Linked DNA regions of Caenorhabditis elegans. The protein of the gene in region 1 purifies or fractionates together with the protein of each later gene. This does not show direct contact. Each region holds a gene or a part of one and is shown in the gene's direction. Other genes may lie near its edges.

The links.
Region 2: the proteins of adr-2 (region 1) and adr-1 purify together in Caenorhabditis elegans (affinity purification with western blotting; 2 studies listed by BioGRID). This does not show direct contact.

Annotation. Positions count from the first base shown.
Region 1 is NC_003281.10:7,230,379-7,234,721, reverse strand, and holds adr-2 (Double-stranded RNA-specific adenosine deaminase adr-2), read left to right. Parts: upstream 1-1,839; coding exon 1,840-2,249; intron 2,250-2,302; coding exon 2,303-2,642; intron 2,643-2,694; coding exon 2,695-2,928; intron 2,929-2,972; coding exon 2,973-3,302; intron 3,303-3,375; coding exon 3,376-3,549; 3' UTR 3,550-3,683; downstream 3,684-4,343. Other genes in the region: ndus-8 (putative NADH dehydrogenase [ubiquinone] iron-sulfur protein 8, mitochondrial), read left to right, coding at 541-600, 649-793, 867-954, 1,175-1,520; R151.10 (uncharacterized protein), read left to right, coding at 3,791-3,923, 3,970-4,343. UniProt on the Caenorhabditis elegans protein: Catalyzes the hydrolytic deamination of adenosine to inosine in double-stranded RNA (dsRNA) referred to as A-to-I RNA editing. Acts primarily on non-coding regions of protein-coding genes including introns and untranslated regions (UTR).
Region 2 is NC_003279.8:7,771,457-7,778,359, forward strand, and holds adr-1 (A-to-I RNA editing regulator adr-1), read left to right. Parts: upstream 1-1,961; 5' UTR 1,962-1,981; coding exon 1,982-2,056; intron 2,057-2,556; coding exon 2,557-2,625; intron 2,626-2,676; coding exon 2,677-2,814; coding exon of another isoform or gene 2,815-2,835; intron 2,836-2,941; coding exon 2,942-3,139; intron 3,140-3,186; coding exon 3,187-3,287; intron 3,288-3,338; coding exon 3,339-3,585; intron 3,586-3,627; coding exon 3,628-3,696; intron 3,697-3,739; coding exon 3,740-4,277; intron 4,278-4,326; coding exon 4,327-4,588; intron 4,589-4,660; coding exon 4,661-4,930; intron 4,931-4,977; coding exon 4,978-5,304; intron 5,305-5,355; coding exon 5,356-5,875; coding exon of another isoform or gene 5,876-5,932; coding exon 5,933-6,013; 3' UTR 6,014-6,199; downstream 6,200-6,903. Other genes in the region: nsf-1 (Vesicle-fusing ATPase), read right to left, coding at 526-589, 702-752.

The DNA of each region.
Region 1 (4,343 bases):
TCAATTTCCTCCTTTTCTCGTACCTCATTTCTCTCGAACGGAGCTAGGAACAAGGGAAAACCTTTTCTCGGGGGAGCGCAGCGACCCGAGAATATATATTTATGAGAAGTAAATTGAGAAACAAATATTCGGAAGCAAACTTGAGAACAGTTTTCCTAATTTCTCAAGAAACAAAGCATTAAAGTAAAATTATTGTGACAATAAGCGTGCTTAGAAACACTAAACGATAAAATTATGTTATTTGACAAATATTTAAACATAATAACAATATAAAATATATAAATTGAAAGGCTAAAAGTATTTAAATAGATATTTGGGAATTAAACTTTGTTGGAACGCAGAAGTTGCGCCCTTGGTTCATCGTTGGCGCGTTTCTCGTGCACCTGCAGGACATGTTTGCGTCTTTCTCGCTTTTTTAATATTTTTTCGTGTTCAATTTTATATTTATCAATGTTTTTCTATTATAAACACTTCATTCCAATTAAATTAAATGTAGTCTATCAATAATACGTTTTTCAGTAACTTAACCACGCTGTCAAAATGGCGATGAAAAGTGTGGCAGTGCTCACAAAAGGCATGTTTGGAAGAATTCCGGCTCAAGTGAGATTTTCTCATTCAAATATACGTTTCAAATAATCAATTATTTAGCTTGCCGTCAGCAGTGTTCCTTCCAACACAATTCAAAAGAGATCCAACTACAAATTCGTTGGTATGCCCAATGAAACCGATGGAACACTGGCTGGAGATTTGAATTACGGGCTTCACAATGTTTTCTTCACCGAACTTTTCAGAGGTAATTTTAAACTAAATTTGAATCAAAATTATTTTGAAGTATACTGTGTGAAGGAAAAATGTCAATTTTTCAGGTTTCGGAGTGATGCTTGGTCACGTATTCATGGAGCCAGCTACTATCAACTATCCCTTCGAAAAGGGACCACTCAGTTCAAGATTCAGGTACAGAAATTAAAAATTGAAATTAAATCATAAAGCATTTGTTATAATCAGCTTGGAAGAAAATAAGCATATTTTGGTTGTATTTTAATAGTTTTCAAAAAACTGAACAAACTTGCACCTTCACACGACACATATTCGAAAATTCTTTAATTAAAAATATTAATTATTTAGTTAATTTAAAAAAAAACAAAAATTATTAACAAAAAAATCAGTATTTTAGAGGAGAACACGCTCTTCGTCGATACCCGTCTGGTGAAGAAAGATGCATTGCTTGCAAGCTTTGCGAAGCCATTTGCCCAGCTCAAGCTATCACGATCGAGGCCGAAACAAGACCTGACGGAAGTCGCCGTACCACTAGATACGATATCGATATGACCAAGTGCATCTATTGTGGATTATGCCAGGAAGCTTGCCCAGTCGATGCAATTGTCGAGGGCCCGAACTTCGAATATTCGACTGAAACTCACGAAGAACTCCTCTATAATAAGGAGAAGCTCTTGTTGAATGGTGATCGCTGGGAGCCTGAGCTCGCTTCCAATCTTCAAGCCGAATATCTTTATCGTTAAGATAATACGAATTGTGGGAAATGAGAAGAGAACATTTTAAAATACCTGATTTTTTCGTAGCTTTTTCGCTTTTCCGTTTTCTGTTGTCAGATGATTTATTTTTAATTTTGAGGTTTTAGTATTTGTTCCCCTTTTCTGATAACTTCCGAATTGTAGATGAAAAACAAAATATGTTATATACTTTTATGTTTTCTCTATGTTTTTCTTAAATATCGTTCACTAGTCGATGTTGCTCTATTGTTTTTTCGATATCTCAAGGTAAAACTGTTACACATTTCCTCATGTGGACTTTTTGTTCCAAAAATTATTCGTAATTCAGATGTCCGTCGAAGAAGGTATGGAAGTTGAGTTAAAGTCAGAGAAAATGGATTTGGATGACAATATTCCCGACTTTGTGAAGGAAACTGTGGAAAGAAGCGGAAAGAATCCAATGTCATTATTCTCAGAGCTTTATGTTCATATGACAGGCAACACTCCAGTTTTTGATTTCTATAACAGAAACCAACCGAACGGATCCATGAAATTTATATGTGTTGTAATTTTAAATGGAGAACGAATCGAGGGAAATGTAAAATCCAAAAAGAAAGAGGCAAAGGTGTCGTGCTCATTGAAAGGACTGGAAGTCGTGCTCAAGCATGTTAGCGAATACGTTGTGCCTGCTGTCAAATTTGAGGAGAAAACCACATTTTTCGAGATGCTCAGAGAACATACATACGCGAAATTTTATGAGTCAGTGGAAAAAATAATTCATAGTGAATGTATCCCTTTTATTATCATTTTAGACTTTGTAAGAACAACGCCTTAATCTATGGATTCGAAAAAGTGATCGCTTCTGTTTTCCTGAAAATCAATGGAAACCTCCAAATCATTGCTCTCTCCACTGGAAACAAGGGATTACGCGGAGACAAAATTGTAAACGATGGAACAGCTCTCATAGATTGTCATGCTGAAATTCTCGCAAGAAGAGGCCTTCTGAGATTTTTGTATTCCGAAGTTCTAAAGTTCTCTACAGAGCCACCCAATTCAATTTTTACAAAAGGAAAGAACGCATTGGTGCTGAAGCCAGGAATTTCTTTCCATTTATTCATAAACACCGCACCATGTGGAGTTGCGAGAATAGATGTAACTTTTCAAGTATTAATTTTTGTAAATTCTTCATTTGAATTATTTTCAGAAAAAGCTAAAACCCGGAACATCAGATGACCTTCAAAATTCTTCTCGTCTTCGATTCAAAATTGATAAAGGTATGGGCACAGTGCTCGGTGGTGCTTCTGAGTTTGAAGCTCCACAAACATTTGATGGAATCATGATGGGAGAACGAATGAGGACAATGTCTTGCTCTGATAAATTGCTTCGAGCAAATGTACTGGGTGTCCAAGGAGCAATATTATCACATTTCATCGATCCAGTTAGTTTAACCTGATTAGTATAACATGAGATCTTGATTTTCAGATCTATTACTCGTCAATCGCCGTTGCCGAGTTGAACAATGCAGATCGTCTCCGTAAAGCAGTTTACAGCAGAGCAGCCACCTTCAAACCTCCAGCTCCATTCCATGTTCAAGACGTGGAAATCGGAGAGTGTCAAGTGGAAGATACTGAGCAATCAACTTCTGCAGCAGCACGATCCACGATTAGTTCGATGAATTGGAACTTGGCTGATGGAAATACAGAAGTTGTACGAACATCGGATGGAATGGTTCATGATAAGGATATGAGCGGGGCTGACATCACGACTCCATCCAGATTGTGTAAAAAAAATATGGCAGAACTGATGATTACTGTAAGCTGGGGGAAAATAAAAATAATTTTCTTGATGTTTTGAGTGTGAAACTCAACAATTCCTTCTATTTCAGATCTGCACGTTGACAAAGACTTCTGTGGATTATCCAATCTCATACGAAGAACTCAAAGCTGGATCTCAAGAATACGCTGCTGCAAAAAAGTCGTTCATTACCTGGCTGCGACAGAAGGATCTCGGAATTTGGCAACGAAAGCCACGAGAATTTCAAATGTTTACTATAAATTAATCAATGCAATTTTACCTTTATTGTATCAAAAGTTCAATGTGGTTCCACTTTTAAAAATCTCATGCAGCATCGTGTATTCATTCCATTTTAGCTGTTAACTCTTAATTTCTGCATTAATTAATTGTTAATCTTTTATTTTTTGGACTTACAATTTTCAGTGATTCGAGTTACTTATCTCGGAGTTGAATATTATTTAAGGAAACGAAAACTGGAATAAATATGTTTTTATAGAAATTTCCAGATGCCTGCATCAGTGACCCATGTGATTTTCGATTTTGACGGTCTTCTCGTCGACACAGAATCTGCATACACGGAAGCGAATATGGAGCTTTTGAGAAAATATGGACACGTTTTCACAATGGATTTGAAGAGAAGTGAGAAGAAATATCAGAAATATTTTTATTTTAATATAAATTTCAGGGCAAATGGGAAAACGCCATGATGAATCGATCCGATGGCTAATCAACGAACTGAAAATCGGCGATCTTGTGACACCGGAAGAGTATTCACGTCAATACGATGAACTTCTCATCGAAATGTTCAAAAGGAGTCCTGCGATGCCTGGAGCTGAGAAACTGGTTCGTCACCTTCTTCATACCGGAGTTCCAGTTGCATTGTGTACTGGATCGTGTAGTCGCACATTTCCAACGAAATTGGATAACCACAAAGATTGGGTGAACATGATCAAGTTGCAAGTTTTATCGGGAGATGATCCTGAAGTGAAACACGGAAAACCACACCCAGATCCATTTTTGGTGACTATGAAACGATTCCCACAAGTTCCAGAATCGGCG
Region 2 (6,903 bases), on another chromosome or scaffold:
GAGATGGGGAAGATGCTAACAAAAACTGCAGAACGAGAGGAGCAGTGCGTTGAAAACAAGAAAAATACGAAGAAGAAGAAGACGTTGTTTCGGCACTCGGAGGCTTTTTCCTGCGCAAATCGATGTAGGACTTTGGGCATGAAAAGACACGAAGAGTTGGAGAAGAGGACAGACGGATGGGGGAGATACGTGAAAAAAGAGCCGGAAAATGGGAGGGGAGGAAGTGAAAAGGGTGGACTTTTTGATGATGGAGAAAGAAGCAAACTAAGAAATGATGAGCAACTTTTGGTATTTCTCAAATATTCATGCAAGTAAACATTAAAATAATATGGAGTGGCTAGAACTGGAAAAAAATTAAGTCATGTCAAACCGTCATGAATAAAATTTTAACGAATTTAAAAATGTTAAATGTTCAAATAAAACCCTGATTTTAAGAAAATTCCAGTTCAAGTTCATCCATATTACTTATTAGTAAACGTTAGTTAAAAGTTTGAAAGCACAGTTCCCAATAAAACAAAACGAAACCGTGATTTGTCTCCAGTAGTGAGTCGTTTGCTGATTTCCGAAACCACGACATTGTAGAATATTCCTGAAAATTAACAATTTTGAAAGAGAATAAATACAGTCCTGATCTTCAATAAATAAAGAATTAAAAGAGAAACGATCAAACGAATAATGAGCATTGAAACACAATTATTTACCACGATTTTCCTAAAACAGCAACATGTGCTTAAACACGGGACTGGACTCATGAGAAAATGTCTGACTGAAAACTCGTCCAAGGACACGTTGCATATGAATTTCGCAACTAATAAATTGTAACTGGACAAATAATATGAACTTTAAAAAAAAAATAAAAAGAATTTATTATTTAGCAGCTGATGTGGTTTTACAAAAAATATTTTGACGAAATCAATATTTAAGCATCAGAAACTTTATATTTTTCGCATTTGTGATAAAAACAGCAGATTAGAAATATTAAATTGCAAATAAAATCTTAAAAACTCATGAAAATCCGGGAAACGTGTATTATGAGACCACTTCAATTTTTGAATTGTGTGAGTCGGGCGAAACAGAATTATGAAAAGTAGTTAAAATCCTTTAACACTATGTTTTAGAATATTTATAACAATTTAGCTGCTATTCTTTCTCACTTAAAATGTGAGCGAAGTTTTCGTTTTCGGCATTGAACGCATTTCTTTCAAACTTTATTCACAGATTCCGTGACGTGTCAGTAGAGCAAATGCGCTCCATGGAACTATCGACTTTTCGAATGCGACGCGTTCCGCGCTCAACGATTCGGCTCATTTTTTGCTGCGTTCTCGCTTATTATTTCGTTCCGCAATTGTAAATGTATCACTGAAATGTACAATTCGCTTAGTTTCTGTCAATTTCAATAGAAAAATAGTGTTATTCTCACAATGCAACAGCCCTTTTTGTTTCAAAACATTGAAAGCAATGTCAGTTTATGGGAAATTCAGTTAATCAATAATTATAGCATATTGAGAGGAGCATTATATCTCAGTCATAAGCCATTTTGTTCTTGACGTTTTATAATTTTCATTCCTTTTTAGTCTAGGATTTTTAGAATTAGAGGGCCTAAAATTATTTGCTTTTCTCTTCTGAATGTGTTTTTTGTTCTCAATGCTACACGAAGTCTTTCAACTAGCTATTTAGTTGCTTCTATTGCTTAAAAGAACAACTGAATAGTATGTTTATTTCCTACTCTCGGCATATTTCCTCTATATTGTAATGTATTTTGTGTCTACTTAAGAACGTGGAGTTTGTCATTATTCCCAATGCGGCATACTCTGTGATCTTACTGCTTCCCTCTTATTTCTCGTGTAATTTCATTGTCCGGTTCGAAATGTTTTTTTGTGCCGGGTAATGTCACGACTTTCAATAGTGTGAATCTTTTCTCGAAAACTTCATACGATTGCTAGTCATCATTTTTTCTGCAGGTAATTTATTTGACTACGAAATGGATCAAAATCCTAACTACAACTTCGGTTATGGACAGGCCTATGGCTCTGGCACTGATCACACCAGCGATTCCGTACGTTAACTCTAAACTTTTGTGGGTACTCGATTAGAGTTGGAGTGAAATCCAATACAAATTAAAACTCAAGTAGGATTCACTCCAGCTTTAAAGCAATTAAAAATATTGGAAGAACCCCAAATAGTTTGGCGTTGTCGTATGCATCGACAATTAATACATTTGTTGACGTTTACAGTGTCAATAAGTTCATCTGCCTAATACAAATGAACTTTTTCTCACTTTGCAATAATTAAGTTTTGTTATAGATGCATTTCTGGATGATTATTATAAATTAAAATTTATATCATCCAGGGTTGGATCCTCTCGGTGATATTTTCAAAAATTAGCTTAAAATTGTTTATTTCTGTATCTTAAATCGTATCAAATTAGCAAAACCTAAGGTTTGAGATCCTTCAGCTAAAAAACAATATCAAAAACTTTCTAATACAAAAAATCACTAAGCTGAATTATCTCAAAAGCTTAGAAAATTTTGCTTAATTAATTTTTCAATTTTCCAGACCAATAATTACAACTGGGCAAGTCAATGGAGCCAACCAGAGTCCGCTGCCTCGCTGGCTACCCACACGGTATGATAAAAACTAACAATTTCGGAAGAAAATACAATTATTTTTTTTCAGTTCCCACAATATGTCAGCCAACAACAGCAGCAGCAGCAACAACAGGCTCAACAACAAGCTCAGAATACTTATGCAGCCATGAACCCAATTTCAACATTCATGCAACAACAACAGAGAGCACAAACCTTCCCACAGAAGGTATATTTATTTTTAATTTAAAGAACAGCTCCAGTTGAAACTAATAGTTTATTTTTAATTGAAAGAACAGAAGCGTTTTCTAAAAATTATCACAATTTGGAATTTCTAATGTGAGAAACTGATACAGAAATACGGACAACAAGGCGGTGCTCCAAAACCATCTGCAATTCGTAACAACAATTTCGGTGCGTTTGGCGGAGGGCACGCTTTGAGTCAGGAGTGGGTGCAACCAATGTCGCAAAACCAAATGGGTGGCCCACAGGGAAATCGTTTTTTTAACAATCAAAAAGGCGGTCCATTCAACCAAAACAAACCAAATTGGAGGGTGGGAAATTATTTTTATTTTATATTGCAATAACGTTTTTATTTCAGCAAAATAAGCCCAAGGGTCCAGCTGCTCCCAAAAAGTTTGATTCGACTGGGAAAAGCCCAGCGATGTTGCTTCATGAGCTGTTCAAGGATGTTTCTGAAGAGTAAGTTATTGAATTTATTAGAAAGGCAATCAAATTATTGAACTTTTTCAGGTACACTGAGGTTGAGGGCGTTCCGAAAAAGTATTGCTGCACATTGAAAGTAAACGGACGCACTTTTCAAATGGAATCAGTCAACAAGAAAGCAGCGAAACAAAAATGTTCGGAACTTGTTGTTCGCGATCTTCGTCCGGATGTTCATGTAACACCATTTGAAGAAGGTGTAGCAGCAAAAGCAGCGGCTCCAGTGAAAAAGGAAATCGATGCCGCTTCTGGAAATGGGCAGAACAACAAGAGAAATGTACGTTCGAACTACAATTGGTTTTAATAAGTTTTATATTAGTTGCTTCAGGCTGATGCTATTTCAAATCAACCGACACCGAAAAAGGTCTCCGCTGTTAAGAAAGCAAAGGTAAAATTCAAATTTTCAAAAGCTGTACTTATAAATTCTCAAGCTCCAGTTGACACCTGTTGAATCTGCGCTTTCGTTGCTAGATCTAATGCAAAAAATAATTGCTGAGTCTGCCGAGAAGTATTCACCAGTTTTCGAAGCTTCGGAGGTTCCAAAAGATCCAGAGATTCCCGAAGTCGAAGTCAAAAAAGAAGAAGTGGATACAAATGGAGAAAACGTTGCCAATGAAAAGAAGAGTGGTTGGCGCAAAAATGAGACCATGCATAATGTCACTTTGAAATTCGTGGAGCAAAATAAACAATATACAAAGATGGGACCAAGTCGTGGAGTTTTGAAAGATATGGTCATTCGTGAAGCTCTTCGTGACTTGTTCAACGTGTCACATGCCGACATCACCACTGTTGCCCGTAGACATGCAAGTAATCGTCTTGGACACGATACGACAATCCTTCAATGTCTCAATACCATTTGCTCAATTTTAAATTGCACTCTTACTATTGAATGTGAGCCAGCAGAAGACAGACCACTTGGTATCGGAAGAGCATATTTCATGGCAAAATGCACAATTATTGATCACAATGGTATTTTTACTAGAATCTCAGATTTAGAACAGTTTTTCAATTTTTTCAGAGAATGATTTGAAATTTGAAGTCAAGTCCTCATCACTCGCTTCCAAAGCAATGGCCAAAGACTGGGTCGCGCAAGAAACACTAAAAAACTATTTTGCAATAGATCCATCTTCCTGTGTGAAAACAGATGCTGTCAGCAGTCAGGGACCGTGTGCTCTTCTCCACGCGATGCTCAACAAGCAGACGAAACAGAAGTGCAAGATTGCCTATGAATTCAAGGACAATGTACCTCCAGTTGCTGGACAGGCTACAACGACATTCTAGTAAGTGAAGTACAATTTCAGAATCCTTTTTTGAAAATATTTTATGAGGCTGTTTTAATTGAAAATTTTCAGTTGTGAATGCGTAATCGATGAAACCGATCGGTACATTGGCGTTGGTCGTTCGAAAAAACTGGCTAAAAGTGAAGCGGCAATGCAAGCTCTGAAGAAGCTTTTCAAAATTGACTATGATCCAGCCGGCAACTATCCACTTGCATTGACAAGTCGTGCTATGACCGAGTCAAAGGTTTCTCCATTATGCAGACATATCGCAGAATTTTGTAAGAGAGAATACCACCAGATGACTGAATACTATCAAATACCTCCCAGCAATTTGTTTGCTGCGTAAGTTTTCAAACATTATTTTCAAAAGAAATTTATTCAACTTTCAGTTTCCTATTGGTCAATGCTCAAGAAGAGAAGCGTGTTCTTGCAATGGGTTCATCTATACAATATATAGTCGAACCAGATACTCTCAGTGGAGCCAATGGAACATCTCTACTTCATTTGGATGCTATTATTCTTGCCCGCAGAGCAATGTTGAAGGCATTTATCCATGAACTTAGCACCGTTGATTCAGAATGTTCAATTTTCGAGAAAAAGGAAGAGGGAAAAGCTGCCTTAAAGCCGAATCTCCGGCTTGTTCTCTATTCCAACTACTCGCCACCATGCATTCATGCAGTCGATGATGCTGCAACTAAGAAGTTGTCATATGTAACGTGAGTTTAATAGAATTTTAGTTTCTGCAAAAACTATTTCACCATTTTCAGGCCAACAAATCTGACATGTGTACCAGACGATGTGCTTACCTACGAACAAATTAAGGAAACGAAGTCCCTTCGAGTTCATTGCACTGCGGATAAACTATTCAAATGGAACACTTTGGGAATTCAAGGCGCTCTCCTCTCCAATGTTCTTCATCCAATTTTCATTGATAACATCTTCTTCGGCTCAGAAGCTCCAGTCTCTGATGAATCACTCAGTTATGCTTTGCAAGGACGCCTTGGACCAAACGAAAATGAACGAGAGATCATTGTGGAGAGTATGCCTGTGCAAATGAGAATGCATATGGGCATATCTCATCTCTGGCACCGTGGAGTGGATTCTGTTGAAACTCTGGATTACAATACTGGACGCACTTCAAAGGGATCCCCATCGCGAGTTTGTAAAGCTGAAATCTTTGAGGCGTATCGTAAATTGAACGGAGTCGACCAGGCCGTTGTGAATTATGCGAAGGCGAAAGAGATGGCGTCTGAATACCAGTATGAGAAGAAAGTGTTCTATGAAAAGGTTGGTGTTTTATTTTCTTCTTTTCTTCGTCTTCTTCTTCATAATATTAATTTTCAGCTCGAGGCTGCGGGACTCGGAAAATGGCAAACAAAACCAGCTGAGCTTGTTGACTCCTTCACTCTTGCTGCTTTCGATTAATTACTCAATAATTCATAATTTAATTACCACCATTTCTTCGATCTTCGTTTTCTCTCTGCACCTTCTTTTTAACTATCTTTGAAGTGTATGATCTTCAAGCCATTGCCGCTTTAATGCGGTATTCTTTTGTTGTTTAATTTTTTAAATTTTTCTGACGCCAAAATAATTTATAAAGTATTGGTTAAAGCAAGTTTACAGTCTCATGTGAGAATGGTGGAGTTTGCATTTATTCAAATCCAAAACCAATTTGTGAATGTTCGAAAGTCTTTCGCGGTGAAAAATGTGAAAAGAAGCAGATATCTGTGTCTCTTTCCTCACATTATAAAGGACACTTTTTGGATTTTTCGAATGACATTTTGACAGTTGATATTCTAGAATTTAGTTGAGAATAAATTGGTAGAGGTTAGCAAATCGGAAGCTTGGAAAACAATTAAGAACCTATTTGGAAATGTTTCTGATACTCCGTTTGCAAATCATCCAAATAATATGGAAACATTCCCAATGACTGGTTATGTTAATCTTCATAATGTTGATATCATTTAAATTTGATTTCTATAAAAAATTTGAAGTAAATAAATATTTTCACAGCTTCATTGTGATTCATTGTGACAATTTTTAATGTACACAACAACTGAACCATTTCTTTATCAAAATTTTGTACCATTTTAATAATTTTTCCAGCTCTAAGAATTGAAATTTGCCCTGAACATTAAAAATGTAAACCTGCTGTAACATTTTAAAAGTTGTTATTTTTCTATTAAAAGTTCCTGCATTTTCTAAATTAACATCGAAGTTGTGTATTTCTCAAAAGAAGCTCATCGCGTTTTCCTGGCAACCTCTTTTGCTTTTTCAATAATACGTCTTCCCACAGGCAGATTTGCAGACAACAG